3 linked regions of the Daphnia pulex genome follow. The protein of the gene in region 1 purifies or fractionates together with the protein of each later gene. This does not show direct contact. Links are inferred from orthologs where the notes say so. Each region holds a gene or a part of one and is shown in the gene's direction. Other genes may lie near its edges. The genes, in order: translation initiation factor eIF-2B subunit alpha-like, translation initiation factor eIF-2B subunit gamma-like and translation initiation factor eIF-2B subunit epsilon-like.

Region 1 (4,695 bases):
AACCATTTCTCTCACAGGTGTAATTAAATCTATTGTTTGGTCAACAATTCATTGCAACTCCATGTGGTGGCCTCCTTACCACTCTTGGCCTGGATTTATAAATGCTGCTATTTTTCTCTCATTAAGTGCATCAACATTCTACAATTTTCTATATTCACTACATGTTGGTCCAGGATACTTACCTCTAAACTGGAAACCGGTAAAATTTGTTTAGTTTGAATAGGTTTAACAGTTTTAAGATCAACTAACACATTGTACTTATTTAGACCAGGGAAGAGGATACTCAGTTTTTACAGTACTGCACTGTGTGCCAAGGATACAAAGCACCAAGATCTCATCACTGTAGAAAATGTATCCCAATAAAAATAATTACTCTTCTGTTTGATGACAAATTCCTCTTTCACAGGCAATAGATGTATTATGAAACGTGATCATCACTGCATATTTATAAATAACTGCCTTGGACATTTCAATCACACCAACTTTCTTGGTAATAATACCTAATCATTCATATTATGTTTCATAAATCACCATTGTTTCGTTAGCATTCCTCATTTCCGCTGTTATTGGATGCGCCCAAGCCATCGTAATAATTTCATGCACCATGTACAGAGCTCTTCACCCGGTTGGCTAAATCTAAAATTTGTATGCTTGTTACAAACAATTTAAAAACGAATCATATTGTTTAAAAATAGACATTTGATTACTACGACCATTCAAATCTACGAGAAGTGCCTTTTATAATATTGGGACTATGGCCTTTTGTGATGAGTCTGATTTCCTTAGGATTAGCAGCCGGAGTAGTGTTTGCTGTTGGTTTTCTATTTTTTGTCCAGGTTTGAATTTCTTTGGATTATATGTTCTTTATTTAACCTAAAAGTGATTGATTCTTTCATAGATGAAAGTGGTTTTAAGAAATCAAACAGGCATTGAAGACTGGGTTCATGAAAAAGCTGTTTATCGTCGAGAAGGAACCGATGAACCCTCTTTCATTCACCCCTACAATTTAGGATGGCGAAAGAATCTGGTTGAAGTAATAAATTTCTCTTTCCAGCCTAAAGGTGATGGCATCGAGTGGAAAGTCCGGGACAATTGCCATCCATACGCTTTCACGGTATAATCCTATGCATAGTTCTATAGATTTTCTACCTTTTATAGCTATTTATTCATTTTTGACAGATTGAACAAATTGAACAGAAAAAGATTAAAAGGGAACGCTGCGTAGAATACGTAGTAGAGAAAGCATACAGTGGAAGGTGGTTCCCTATTATTAGTTTCGGCATTATGGTTTGTCTTCAGCCACCATACACCGACGAGACACGCATCTCTCTGCAGATTGGAGATAAGGTGGCGGTTACTCGATGGAAAAAGTATGATAAAAACAACTTCCAACAAGAAATTTTTGCCTTTCAAAACTTTTATAATTGTCCTTTAATCAGATATTGGCTTTACGGCGAAATTCAAGAAAGGGGTCAAGTTCAAATGAATCCAACTGAGCGCCGAGCACTGCGCGGTTGGTTTCCTCGTACATCCTGCTCTCCTTCCTATGTGGAATATGAAAAAGAGGAATGATTGTTTAAATTAGTTTAATTGAATGGATAAGACAACAAAAAGTTCCAATAATCTTACTTTTATTTACACACCACTTTGTTTTGAAGCAAAGCACCTAAAATTGCACCTTGTCTAAAATGTTTCGGGTGGTTTTCATCTGACAAATTCACAAAATCTTGAAATAAACTATGGTTAAAAAAATAAAAAAAAAAATGCAAAATGAACGTTTATTTCACTTTCGACAGATATCTCGTGCGCCGTGCGGTCGTCGCTCGTCGGTCGTGCTACCGGTGCTACCCTACCCGTACCTGTGTGCATGCACGATGAAGAATGGCAACGTTGACGACGACATTTTTGTTTTTAACGCGGAATGTGAAAAGAATAGAATGACTTAAGTATTCTTCTTTCATCAAACGATAACAGCAGTTTATGAATGTTTGCGGTTGCGTGTGACATAATGGACATATCAATCTAGGGCTCTCGGCAGATCCTTCCCTGGGACTAATCGGTGAGGGCCAATCAGAAACAAGTACAGTACTCAAGTGTTTTGACTGACTGGAGTGTTGACTTTTCATTGTGTCGTCTGCTGCTGGAACGGTGGCAAGCTGGCAAGCTGCTGTGCTGCTCTTCTAGCTGAAACTCCAAGTTAAGTAGAGAGGAAAAAAGTTTACTAGTGCGCAAAAAAGATATAAGTATAAAATGGAAAATACAAGTAGGTTTAGTTATTAAATAATGTTAATAAAAAAACTAATGTAATCAATGTGCTTTTAGGAAATGTATTGGATTTTTTCCAAAAAATTGTGAAAGAAGAGCCGGATGTTTCAGCAGCTGTTGCAGCTATCCGCACATTAATGAATATATTGGAAAACTTTGGTGATGGTTAGTAAAAACAAAATAATATCTATAAGCATAATCATTATCAACATTAAAGACTATCATATTCACAGGTGAAACTCTTCGTGGATTGTCGGAAGAACTGAGAAAAGCAACAGAAGAAATGAAGAAAGCTGAATGCTCAATTACATCAGTTCAATCAGGCTGTGAACTGTTTCAACGGTTTATCACACTTACTTCTCTTGAACAATCAGTATGTTGTCTATAAATATGAATCATAAATTTTTAATAGATTTAAAATAAAACATTCTTTTTAGAATTTCAAAGATTGCAAGGAGATTATGAAGAAACGAGGAGAAATTTTTCTAAGGAAATTACAAGAGGCTAGACCTAAAATTGCAAGACTAGGGGCTCCTTTTATTCTTGATGGACACAAAATCCTCACTCACTCCAAATCAAGAGTGGTTCTACAAACACTAGTTGAAGCAGCTGTTATATCCAAAAAACGTTTCCATGTTTTCATCACTGAATCTCACCCGGATCTAAGTGGTGTCGCTATGAGAGACGAGCTATTGAAACACAGTATTGGTTCGACTCTCATTTTGGATTCGGCCATGGGTTATGTCATGGAATCAGTGGATTTAGTGCTTGTTGGAGCTGAAGGTGTTGTTGAAAGCGGAGGCATTATCAATAAGGTACGGATAAAATATATTTATTTGACTATTTAAAAAAATTGAAAAATTTATTGAAATAGATTGGAACATATACTATGGCGCTGTGTGCCAAGGAAATGCACAAACCCTTTTACGTTCTCGCTGAGAGCTTCAAATTTGTCCGTCTCTACCCGCTGAACCAACGCGATTTACCCCAAGAACTGAAAGTATGTTAAATTTTTTAACCAATTTTCCATAATGCTGAAACTTGTGTTGAATTTTTTTAGTTCTCGTCAACTATTATTGAATCCAATCATTCTAATCTTCTCGATCAGCATCCTCAAGTTGATTACACGCCACCAGGATATTTGACTTTGCTTTTCACAGATTTGGGAATTCTCACTCCATCAGCCGTCAGTGATGAATTAATTAAACTTTATCTATGAAAGAGAGTCGTCTAAATATAAAAACATCGATAAATGTGTAAATAAAATACACGTTCATGTCACTTTTTTTGTGATTTTAGACATTTTCCTGCGCGTGTGGAAAATATAACATGCAGTAAGGTCATCTGTCGCAAGGTGGCGTTTCGAACGATGCACTTCAAATTGGAAACCGTTGAAGTTGTTAGCGTTGGTGCTAATTTAGCTCTAACTTTTTAACAATCAAAATTAGGGAATAATAACAAAGTTTAATTGAGACAACTACAGAAAACTGTGAGGAAAAAGATGTTAAATGAGCCAAATAAAGACCACATTCCGGAGAAATTTCCAAGAGAAAGAAACAACATTGATGACTTCATAAAGAGGAGACCAAGTCTTAACAGAAGTATTACTGGTGGTGGTTCTGGTTCAACTTTTCGAGGTAATGAAATGTTGTGGATATTGTTTGTCAATTTGTTCACTATGAAGTTTTTACAGCTGCTTGTGCTGCGGTAGACTCATCCCTACCTCCTTCTGGGAAGAAACATAAAATAACAGAACTATGTCTGAATCATACCCTGAAGGAAATGAAGTTTAATGCCTTAGAAAAAGAGCAAGATGCTGTTGCTGCCTATTCAGAAAGGCTACGGGATAACATTGAAGACATTCTAAACAAAGTTCTAGTTTCTACTGGAGATAAAGCTCATCAGAAATTTGAGAAACGAACAAGATCAGCCACAAAACAACTGAAGAATGAGAAGTTGCTGTGGAATGAAGAATACAAAAAGAGAAGAGAAGCCTATTTAGATGCAAAGAGTAAGCTTAAAGATGTCTTGAAGGGAAGAGTGCAAATTGAAACAGGCCGATTGAAATCTGAAGATGTAAAGTTTCTAAAGAGCTTACCAGATTTTGCAGCAGTCAACAAGAAAATTGTTTCATATCAAACACGCCACTACATAGGACTCGTACACCTGGAAAAAAATTCCCAACAACTACATCGGTCCTTATCAACGGTTGAGCGTCAACTAGACGAAGTTCAGAGCATGATAGTTCCAACTTTTCAATGGACATAGGACCTTCTCCCATTCCTTTCTGGATAACGACGTCTACAATAATCCTTTCTTCCGCTACATAATCCGCTATACTTTGTAAAAATTGACATTTCGCATTTTAAGGTTTATTAAACAAACAATTGAATTATTAAAATTTCTTTTAACGAATCAGGCTGGCTTTCT
Region 2 (5,286 bases), on another chromosome or scaffold:
TGTTGATGTCTTGTTCAGTAAAAATAAATTTCGTCAACAGTTTTGTTATTGTTACAGGATATTGTTTCTCTTTTAGAGAAGTTCAGTGGAACAAAGGTATTTTGGTGTGTGCTATTCCATTTAAGAAATGTACGTAAATTCATCAATTATGCTAGGCAATATTTTGGGATGAACAACTCACTGGCCCCATTGGTTTGGTGGCAGAATACAGTTTTCTTAAGGAACTAGATGTTGTAAAAATGTTTCAGTTAAAACCTGGGCGCTTGCCTTCCATATCTGTTAAAAATATGCTGTTCATCACAAGACCTGAAGTTGAGCTGATGGATTGTATTGCCGATAACTTGCACAGGTATGAATAATCTACATATTTTAACTTTAAATAGTCAACAATAAGTTAATTTACATTTCAGCGAAGAAAGCCAAGGACATTCTGCTAGTAAGGAATATCAGTTAATTTTTGTCTCCCGACGAAGTGCAGTATGTGAACAGCGGCTCAAGGTTGGTTAAAGTTACTTAAATCAGCGAAGAAGAAATTGTTGACAAAATTATTACTTCATTTAGGACAAAGGAGTGTATGGAACTCTTACTTCTATTGATGAACTGCCTGCTGATTTTTTCCCACTAGATAGTGATGTCATTTCAATGGAACTCGATAATGTTTTCAAGGTATTTATTTATGAGCCAAACTTTGAAAGGGATTGCTTGTCATCAATTTCTTCAAATTTATTCTCAGGATTTATATGTTGACAATGAAATCAGCTCCTTACACCAAATTGCTCATGGGTTAATGTCCCTCCAAAGTTTATATGGCATTTTCCCCAACGTTGTGGGTAAGGGGCGCCATGCCCGTAACGTATTCGAATTGATGACTCGAATGCGACGTGATATTGGGGTAGACTGTGATCCCCCCATGTCTCCGTTGTTCGACACTCTCATGATCATTGATAGGACTGTAGATTTGATAACTCCTGTTGTCACTCAGTTGACCTATGAGGGTCTTATCGACGAATTCCATGGAATAAAACATAGTAAGAAAGTATTGTTAGCTTCTGAGTAAAACAATTATTTTACTTGCATTTTGTGGTTTCATTGTTATTTAGATACAGTCAAGCTTCCAGGAGAAAATTTTCAAGCCTCATCAAATGCGGGCCAGTCACCTCGCTCTGATGGTAGCTCTGTTAAATCTGTTGTTCTAAACTCGGCCGAAGAGCTTTACGCTGATTTGAGGTGAAATTTTTAATCAGACAAATTTTGCTTCCGACAGTTTTAAAGTTATTTATTTTCGCAGGGACAAGAACTTTTCAGCCGTGGGTACTGCACTCAGTCGCAAAGCTAAAGCTATTTCAGCTCAGTAGCCTGGATAACGCCATTGTTGCATTTGGAGGTGTTAAGGTTTCTGCATTCGCACGCGATAGTGGAGAAATATTCCTAGACTCCTTCGATGATTCGGTAATCATGGTTAGTTTAAACTCAATAATATTTCTCCAGCAGTTTTTTTCATCGGGATTTTTTTTTCTTGTGTATTCTCTTTAGATCAACCCGGATATACCTGATGAAAGGGAGCTGAGGGAGTGGCTTAAAGACAATCAGTAAACAAATCCTTTTTTACTGATTGTCTGAAGATCTTAATTACTTGACGTCCTTAAACATCGACTGCAGCTAATTGCCTCCATCTTTTTTCTCGAATTGTTGCCTCCATCTGTTTCCCTGAATTGTTGCCTTGCCTCAAACTTTTTTCCTAAAATATGGCTTCGATCTTGTAACCTGAACTGTTGCCTTTTTACCTCAGCCCTTGTGATGGAGAAATTGGGCCACTGTCTGAGTTTAACTCAAGAATTTCGTAAAATGATAAATGATAAAATAATAATAAATTTATTTCGTAAATGATAAAGAAAAAAAATCCAGGAAATTACAATAAACAAAATCTTACGAAATTCCTACATTTTAATTGTTTTGAAAATATAAGCAAAAGCTTTTAACTGATATCTTGCACGTTAATACCCGAGGGCGAACCTGGAAGGGTCTTGTTTCGTTATTTCTGATCTTACTTAACACATTTTTAGATATCGACAAAAATAAATCGTGGCTTAAAATTTGTATATTTTATCGGAGTAGAAGGAGGAGGAGCTTATTTGTTGGTAATTCAAGCAAGTCTAATAAGTAATAAGTCGCAGGATCCTGAAAAAAGGATAATAAACCGTGAATAATTGCAAATTGGCTCCTCCCTCTTTGTGGGCGGAGTTAAGCTTTCCATGGAGGTGTTTCCACGATTTTGGCCAAACCGCCTCAAACCCGCATCGTGCCCGCATTTTACCCACTGCATTTTGAGAATTTGAGCTAGTGTTTTAGTGTTTTGCTGTTTACAGCTGTTTACGAAACGTGTTTAATTTTGTCTACCGTGAGGTTAAATATCTGCTATTATTTTATTACGATTCATTAAATTAAGGTACCCGTACATACTTTCCGTTTGGTTCGATTTTTTTTAGTTAGAAATGTTTGTGTTGTGCGTTTCTGTAACACCGTTTGTGTTACCTTTCCATGTGCTAACAGATACAAAACGCATCATCCTTTTATTTTCTAATTCTCTCTATGTTTGCTATTTATTAGTTTATATTTGTATTCTAGTGTTCTTTAATCATGGAGTACCAAGCAGTAATAATGGCTGCTGGAAGGGGTTCACGTATGACAGATTTAACTCATGACCGTCCCAAGTGTCTATTACCAATATGCAACAGACCAATGATATGGTTTTCATTAAAAATGTTGGAAAATGCTGGTTTTGAAGGTATTTCAGTTTTTGTTTTGAATAAAGTTACTTTTATGTGACAAGGACTACTTTTTAGATGTCATAGTTGTTATCCATGAACAGTTTCGAGCTGAAGTTGCAGCTATTCCAAGCAAGTATGGTTTGAACATCAAACTGGATATAGCATGTCTTCCAAAAAATGAAGACTTTGGAACAGCTGATTCTCTTAGACTAGTCAAAGACCGAATCAAGGTATAAATCTTTAATAATGCAAGATTTTTATCACATATACTATACCTTTAAATCCAATCGAATTGCAGACTGATGTCCTGGTCATTAGTTGTGACTTGGTATGTGATATACCATTGCACAATGTGTTTGACTTACACAGAACTCATCAATCAAGTGTGACTGCACTTTTTAGCCAGTCCTCTCCAGAAGTAATGTCAACTGCAGTGCCTGGTCCCAAAACAAAATTCAAGCAAGGTATATCTTTCAGCATTCACTAGATTACTTTTAATAACAAAAAATGTATGATAGTATATTCATCAAATAATAATATAAAACTTCCCTTAAAATTTTAGAAAGGGACTTGGTTGGATTGGATCTGCAAACACCTCGTCTGGTTTTCTTAGTCTCAGAAGCAGATTTGACTTCAGAAAACGAGGAGGAACTCTCAATCCGAAAATCAGTGATGAAACATTTCCCACAGATAAGTGTTCAAGGTAACTTGCTTGACGCTCATCTCTACGTTATTAAGAAATGGGTCTGTGATTACATTGCCGAAAACCGGTAAGTCACACCGTTATTTAAATATATTACGCGTTAATGGATAAATCATAAAAACAAACAATTTTTTAACATAGGTCATTCACTATGCTGAAGGGTGAGGTCTTGCCTCATCTTGTGCGAAAACAGTTTATAAAAACTCAAAGGAAAAAAAACGAAAAAGAACTCCCCAATGCGGATGTCTCGGTCGTTTCTTTAAATACTACAAATCGAGGCACTATAAATAGAATTTGAAATCTCTACGTCTAAAGTCTAAATAGTATTATAATTTCTTTTTTTGTAAAGATATTTGCAGCTTCCTTGTTGATGTCGAAGAGGAAGAGAAAATCAGGAGCTACTCTGTTTGGAATGATCATCGTGGTGATTTGCGTGGCCCGTACCAAGACCATAATATCCGCTGTTTCGCTTATGTGGCCAAGGAAGGCTTTTGTCTACGTGCAAACTCGCTGAGCAACTATTGTGAGCTCAACCGACAAGTAAAGAAAGAAATTGTTAACTAGAATCGATCGACGATATTATTATTATTTAAAATGAAATTTAGGTTATTAAAAGATGGAATACAATGTTTCCTGATGAGGAAATCACACCACCCGTATCCAAAGCACAAGTAACGAAGACCCTTATAACTTTTAAATGTTGGATAAACATTATAACATTTTTTATAATATAGGTGGGAACTGATTGCCTTATTGGTGAAACGAGTCAGTTATCGGACAAGTGCTCTATTAAGCATTCGGTTATTGGTCAAGGTTGCAATATTGGAGAAAAAGTTAGGATTACCAATTGTATCATCATGGATAACGTTACGATCATGAAAGAGTAAGATGAGATTATTTATTTTTCTGCTACAACGTATATGAATTGTCTTCTTTTTAGAACAACTCTTCAAGGCAGCATTCTGATGGATAATTCGGTAATTGAGAATAGTTGCGATTTAAAAGACTGCATAGTGGGACATACCGTACATAGCAACTGTAAGTTATACTTTAAATGATAAACAGAAAAGGTTGCCATTCTCACGTTTCAATTCTTCGCACTTAGGCAAATCTACCAACGAAGTTTTGGTTGATGCTGATCGGCTCTTGGAAATATGAGTTTAAGTTATTTGAGATGTTTTTCTCAAATAACTAACTAATAAGTGGTGATAATCCTTCGGGCGATACCTTACAATTGAAAGGCGCTGTTTGCGTGGGCCGTTGGTATGCCTAAATTGCGAGACATCTCCTTGAATTTTGGTTGAAAGTATACAAACAATAAAATTTGCTAATTACATATCTAGTAATATTTTTTTAATTACGATTAAACTTGAACTGAAGAAGATGTATTAAAATTGTGCATCTAGTGATACATCCTTTTTTAACCGCGAAGCAGAAAAAATCTAACCCGAAGCTGAACGAGAATTTGTTTTTATTTCTTATTTAATGTTCTCGGTTGGTTCAACTTTTTCTTCTTAAAAAATAACGACGTCTATTTATTTACTTAAATCCGGATCGTCTATAGGCGTATAAGAATACCGCGACATGATTTAGATACAACTAACTATTTTTTAAATCTATGCGTAGTGTCTGTTTACTTACTGATTTATAATCCGTCTTCTTTTCAATTTACGCGCCGTGAAACATGTTATCAGCAAAAAAAGAATTCTTCATCTCAATCATTCAGTTTCAAACAATTTAAAAAAATGTCATCAATTAATTATACAACTTATAATTTGAAGATGTTCTTTTCTTCGATTATAAATGACATTTCGA
Region 3 (5,326 bases), on another chromosome or scaffold:
TTGTCAATTCACACATAGGCCCAGCTTTTACCTTTGGGATACTTGGCATACTAAAGTATTTTTCATTTCCGTTACCCGATGTAACAGATGTGCAATATGGACTCAGAAAACATCTGTTACGAGGTCCCATCTTAAAGACGATTGAATATTAACTAAATATTCCTTTTATTGTTTTCACAGTTTCGGAGGGAGTTTGAGTTCAGTTTAAGTTGTAAACAAAAACCCACAACAATTAATCGATAGTGGAAAAAACTCGATAATCGATATATTTCCTCGTGGCTTCTGCTTTTGCCAGAAGATTCTTGTCTTAACTTGCAGTCTTGCTCTTGCACCACAGTCCCTTGCAGAATTATTATTTAATTCGCTGATAAAGTTCATCTTCGTTCGCTCTATTCATTCTTTAAAATCTCAATTTGTAAGACTCTGTTAAAGTTCAAAATCTCATTCCCATAATGTCATTTTCGGTGATAAATGTCGTTCGAAACGTTTCACGCCATGCGTTACCGGCGTCCATGAGGTCTATCCTGTCGAAACCCATTACCAGGTCTTTGTGGTACATGTCTAATCCCACAAATCAATTTGTCCCAACAAAACTTTCTCCAGCATTCAAACATACTCCCCTGAGCCCTTCCTGCCCATGTGGAGAATGCAGAGGAGTTCATACAAGAGGTAATACATTTTAACCATTTCACGTCACATTTAAATACAGCATAATATATGTTGCATCATAGGGGACAAAGAGCTGATTGAGTTCCTCTCAGAGGAAATTGCTGCTGAGAAGAAGGGAATGAGCAAAGCCAGGCCTGTCGCTAACTTGGATGGATTTGATGTTAAACACAATGGTTCAGAGATAGTATTGTCTAAGAAATTTAATGATGAACAGTGAGTAAATCTTTATGGGACAATTCTAAATTGAAACTTGTGGCTTAATTTTATTCATTAAACAGAATTGAGATAACAGTTAACGTCAACCATTCTGTTGATGCTGACATCAGTGAGGAAGTTGACAACAAAGCTGACAATCCTCCCCAGGCTGAAATGAAATCAAAACCACACTTTGAAGTCAAACTAATGAAGGGAAATCAAGTAACCAGATTTGCCTGCAGTTACATTCAAGATGCAGGAGAGCCTGTTGAAGATGCCCCAAGTAAGTGTTAATTGTATTTGAATAGCCAACAATATAAATAACACTCGATTTTTTCAGATGACATTTTCACTATTGATGAACTTGCAGTATATGAGGACAAACATAATGATCAGACTTATGCTGTCGCTGGAGACATTCTTGATGGGGTATATTTTAAAGTCAACAATATTTTAACCAAATTAAACTGATATTTCACATTTTCGTTATAGTACATGTACGACCTTCTGATGAATCTGCTCGAAGAACGAGGAGTATCCAACGAATTTGCTGAAAAGCTGAGCGATCTAGCTACCAAGCGGGAACACCATCTATTTATTAATTTGTTAGAGAGCCTTCAGTCTTTTGTCCAAGGCAAATGAAAGGTTTAGAATAGTTTTGAGATGAAAAATAAAAAGCTATGTAGTCATTTTGTTTAAAATGCTGATTTATTATTTATGGTTTTCCAAAACAATGGTTATTTAGAACCATCAGGGGTCTTAAATTCATTTTCAGTCCCCATTACTTCTTTTTCTATTTCTTTAAGGTCAATATTCTGTTCCTGGATTGCTTTCTAAAACAGAAAAGAGTAGATAAACATCTATAAAAGACAGAAATGTTGGACCAAAATTAACTTACCCTAACACATTCACGATACACCTTAAAGAAAGGACCACATGAGTCTGTTGAATGATCCCCTCTTAAGAATTTTTCTGTGAACCATGTGTTGAAACATGCATCATAATTTTGCTTCAATTGGCTACAGGCTTCACTTACACTATTCATGGTACAAATTTAACCTAGAAAAATAAAAATACAATAATCAATTAACATACTTTAAGAGCTTTGTGTGTCCCACACTTGTACCTTTGAACTGTAGATGAAGATTGGGCAGGATAAGCAGAGATCATTAACAAATTAGAGCACTTTTCTTGATTGAAAATTTATTCAACACGGTTGTAATTTCAATTAAAACCGGTCCTCAAAACATATTATGTACTAGGTAGTTTACAGCATTATCAAATCATGTGTACTTTGATTCGATCGTCTGCTCCATTGAGATAGCCTAGCGGCGAAAGAAAGTAACTTTTGTAGCAGACAATATTTTGCATCATTTCTCATTACCATAATCCCATTCCCTTCCTGCAATTCCTTGAATTTGGACGAGCTCACATGTGGACACTATTTATTACAGCTGTTGTAAATTATAAGAAATACTTTTCTTTGCCACAAGAGAATTGAAATACTGAATTAAAGAATGAGCTCCAATAAAACTTCCAAATCAATGTCCAAGTCCGGTTCTGAAGTTCTTAAACAAGAAGATGTTGTTCTTGCTGTTCTAATCGCTGATAGTTTTTCAATACGCTTCGCACCTGTAACTGATTCAAAACCGAAGGTGAAGATCCTACAATTAGATTTTTTAACGTTGAGGACACATATAACTGTTTAACTATTATTACATCAGGCACTTCTTCCGCTGGTCAATAGGCCCATGATTGACTATGCCTTGGAATCTCTACTTCTTAGTGGAGTACAGAAAACCTTTGTTTACTGTGTTGCACATGCTGATCAAATTCGTCAGTACCTCAAAGAATCTAAATGGATGAGATCTGTGTCTCCTATGTCCATTGAAGTTATTTCTCAAAGCCCTGATGACTGTCGATCTCTTGGAGATTCCCTTCGAGACATAGATGGAAAGTCATTGATAAGAGGAGACTTTATATTGATGTCTGCTGATGTCATTTCTAATGTACAGCTCATACCCATATTAGAAGAGCACAGGTAAATTGTAACATCTCTATAAAGTTGTAATCAAATCCATATCAAGTTTTTATTTTGATTTCATGCACTCTTTAATAGAGAAAAGAGGAAAACTGATAAAGGGATTGTCATGACACACATTTTTAAGAAATCTTTCCCGGGTCATCGATCCCGTTCTGCAGAAGAAGAACTCGTCTTAGCCATCAATCCCACCAACGGTCGTATTCTCAATTACCAGCAAACAACAAACCTGAAGAAGCTCAGTTTTCCTTTGGTGAGTTTCTGCTTTCAGTGTTTCGAAACCAACGATTCTTATTGATTTTCATATCAAATCTACAGGAAATGTTTAAAGAGCACGGTCTTGTTGATTTGCGCTATGATTTGGTTGATACGCACATTTCTATTTGTTCTCCCGTGGTTTTGCCGCTTTTTTCCGACAATTTCGATTACCAAACGTGGGGAGATTTTGTCCGAGGTATTCTCATCAACGAAGAAATTCTTAATAATACCATCTACTACCATCAGTTGGAAGGATCATACGCGGCACATGTTTCGAACGTTCCCATGTATGATGCTGTGAGGTAAGGAACACTTTCCAACATTTTAAATTCTACTCATCAAGTAACGAAAATGTTTATTTTTACAGCAAAGATGTTATTCAACGATGGGCATTTCCGCTTGTTCCCGATTTGAATCGGAGTGAAACAACTCCTCGACACACTTTATCACGTCACAATGTTTACAAGCAGCCTGGTGTCACCTTGGCCAAGTACACAATAACCTTTTCTCTTTTTTATTTCCATGTTACCATGATAACACCCTATTTGCGAAATAGGGAAAGTGTTTTGGAAAGGGACGTGGCGGTAGGAGAAAACTCTAAAATAGGAGAACGCACATTCGTCACCCAGTCCGTCATTGGCAGCCGTTGCACAATCGGAAACGACGTGTACATCAATAATGCTTATATTTGGGACGATGTTAACATCAAGGTTAGACCCAGCGAAAATTTTATTTTTGATAAATAATCAAACAATTTGCTTTTAATTAGAACAACTGCCACATTGAAGTAGCTCTCATCGCCGATGGTGTTGTGTTAAATGAAGGAGTCAAAATCGGCCGAGGCTGTGTCATTGGACCCGGAGTAGTTTTAGCTGCCGGTACCAAAATCCCTGACAATACTCGCCTCATGGCCCATCCTCCCAAATGTGATAACGACTTTGAAACATCGGACGAAGAAGATGGTAATGCAAACTTGAATACGTATGTCTATTAATTTAAATATAGTTACATTGGTATTTTTGTTTCCCCTTTTAGATAAGGTAGCTAAACCGTTTAGTGCCGATAGTGTCGCTTACGTTTATCAACGACCCGTCGAAGAAGATTCCGATGCAGAGTCTTTGATTGATGAATTATGGGGCTTGGACATTGATGAAGATTCAGAAAGTGAAGAAGATGAAGACGAAGACGAAGCTGATAACGACGAAGATGAAGAACACGAAGAAGAAGTGGACGTGGGCGACCTGCCAGAGGATATGAATGCTAGATGTAAGTTGCCTATGTGAACCTAAAAAATTAATTTACTAATTTGTTGAATTTTTCTATAGCATTTTATAATGAAGTCTTGGAGAGTCTTCAAAGAGGCTACGAAGAAAAAATCAAGGGTGACAACTTGGTTCTTGAAATTAACTCGTCCAAATACGCTTATAACGTTACCATGAAAGAGGTGAACATGCTCGTTATCAAAGCTATGCTTTCGTTGCCATCCGTCATGACTAAGGTAAACTTTAACGGCGAATCTTTTTGTATTAGATGTTTGATTGAAATTTGGTTGGCTTTTACAGAAGGCCGCCACTGGCACCAACGAAGATTGGGTCGCTCTAAGGCCGATATTGCAGCACTTTCTTCCTGTCATGAGAAATTACTTGAAAAACAATCAGTCGATGTTGGATTCTCTCGAGGCTCTGGAAGAATTTGGAGTTCATAACTCCCATTTTGTGAAATCTATTTGTAAAGTTCTCCATTTTTTGTACGGCGAGGACGTGTTGAGTGAGGACGCAATTTTGGAGTGGTACACCAATCCACCGAACGATCCCAGTGCATTGAAAACTATCCGGAAAACTGTACGTCTTAATTTCTTGAAAAGTTGACTTGATCCTTGGCCTGTTATTAACTTGTTTGTGTTTTGAAACAGGTGGAACCATTTATTACATGGCTGGAAGAAGCGGAAGAGGAATCATCGGAGGAATCGGATTGATAAGTCGCACTTGAATTTGTCCTGGTTTCTGAGAGCTGTAACAAATATCGAATTTATTGAAGTATATCTTTTTTCACAATTTATATGTCACTACTTCACATTTACTTGGATAACCATTGAAAATTACAGGCGTTGGTCACATAAGTAATAAGTGTAATGGTGGCGTATTTAAGAGTAACCGATTCAGT

What was found.
Region 2: the proteins of translation initiation factor eIF-2B subunit alpha-like (region 1) and translation initiation factor eIF-2B subunit gamma-like purify together in Homo sapiens (affinity purification with mass spectrometry; 7 studies listed by BioGRID and IntAct, counting the BioPlex papers as one, with this or other methods). This does not show direct contact. The link is inferred for Daphnia pulex from reciprocal best matches to the Homo sapiens genes EIF2B1 and EIF2B3.
Region 3: the proteins of translation initiation factor eIF-2B subunit alpha-like (region 1) and translation initiation factor eIF-2B subunit epsilon-like purify together in Homo sapiens (affinity purification with mass spectrometry; 7 studies listed by BioGRID and IntAct, counting the BioPlex papers as one, with this or other methods). This does not show direct contact. The link is inferred for Daphnia pulex from reciprocal best matches to the Homo sapiens genes EIF2B1 and EIF2B5.

What each region holds. Positions count from the first base shown.
Region 1 is NC_060023.1:2,530,676-2,535,370, forward strand, and holds translation initiation factor eIF-2B subunit alpha-like, read left to right. Parts: upstream 1-1,899; 5' UTR 1,900-2,250; coding exon 2,251-2,263; intron 2,264-2,322; coding exon 2,323-2,430; intron 2,431-2,498; coding exon 2,499-2,638; intron 2,639-2,702; coding exon 2,703-3,080; intron 3,081-3,139; coding exon 3,140-3,265; intron 3,266-3,325; coding exon 3,326-3,484; 3' UTR 3,485-3,551; downstream 3,552-4,695. Other genes in the region: palmitoyltransferase ZDHHC6-like, read left to right, coding at 18-199, 267-351, 407-490, 546-625, 696-836, 899-1,114, 1,180-1,370, 1,440-1,572; uncharacterized protein LOC124198557, read left to right, coding at 3,767-3,902, 3,959-4,533; target of rapamycin complex 2 subunit MAPKAP1-like, read right to left, coding at 4,673-4,695.
Region 2 is NC_060019.1:11,425,468-11,430,753, forward strand, and holds translation initiation factor eIF-2B subunit gamma-like, read left to right. Parts: upstream 1-2,288; 5' UTR 2,289-2,403; exon of another isoform or gene 2,404-2,446; intron 2,447-2,607; exon of another isoform or gene 2,608-2,625; 5' UTR 2,626-2,637; coding exon 2,638-2,785; intron 2,786-2,843; coding exon 2,844-2,998; intron 2,999-3,066; coding exon 3,067-3,232; intron 3,233-3,330; coding exon 3,331-3,538; intron 3,539-3,612; coding exon 3,613-3,749; intron 3,750-3,820; coding exon 3,821-4,011; intron 4,012-4,076; coding exon 4,077-4,142; intron 4,143-4,205; coding exon 4,206-4,354; intron 4,355-4,411; coding exon 4,412-4,509; intron 4,510-4,576; coding exon 4,577-4,629; 3' UTR 4,630-4,807; downstream 4,808-5,286. Other genes in the region: vacuolar protein sorting-associated protein 33A-like, read left to right, coding at 240-349, 411-498, 562-666, 734-1,028, 1,101-1,227, 1,289-1,355. UniProt on the Homo sapiens protein: Acts as a component of the translation initiation factor 2B (eIF2B) complex, which catalyzes the exchange of GDP for GTP on the eukaryotic initiation factor 2 (eIF2) complex gamma subunit.
Region 3 is NC_060026.1:13,821,637-13,826,962, forward strand, and holds translation initiation factor eIF-2B subunit epsilon-like, read left to right. Parts: upstream 1-2,209; 5' UTR 2,210-2,381; coding exon 2,382-2,519; intron 2,520-2,588; coding exon 2,589-2,905; intron 2,906-2,983; coding exon 2,984-3,158; intron 3,159-3,223; coding exon 3,224-3,465; intron 3,466-3,530; coding exon 3,531-3,653; intron 3,654-3,719; coding exon 3,720-3,873; intron 3,874-3,932; coding exon 3,933-4,125; intron 4,126-4,198; coding exon 4,199-4,429; intron 4,430-4,488; coding exon 4,489-4,661; intron 4,662-4,725; coding exon 4,726-5,004; intron 5,005-5,075; coding exon 5,076-5,138; 3' UTR 5,139-5,221; downstream 5,222-5,326. Other genes in the region: uncharacterized protein LOC124203752, read right to left, coding at 1-130; complement component 1 Q subcomponent-binding protein, mitochondrial-like, read left to right, coding at 453-669, 732-882, 948-1,147, 1,205-1,293, 1,357-1,506. UniProt on the Homo sapiens protein: Acts as a component of the translation initiation factor 2B (eIF2B) complex, which catalyzes the exchange of GDP for GTP on eukaryotic initiation factor 2 (eIF2) gamma subunit.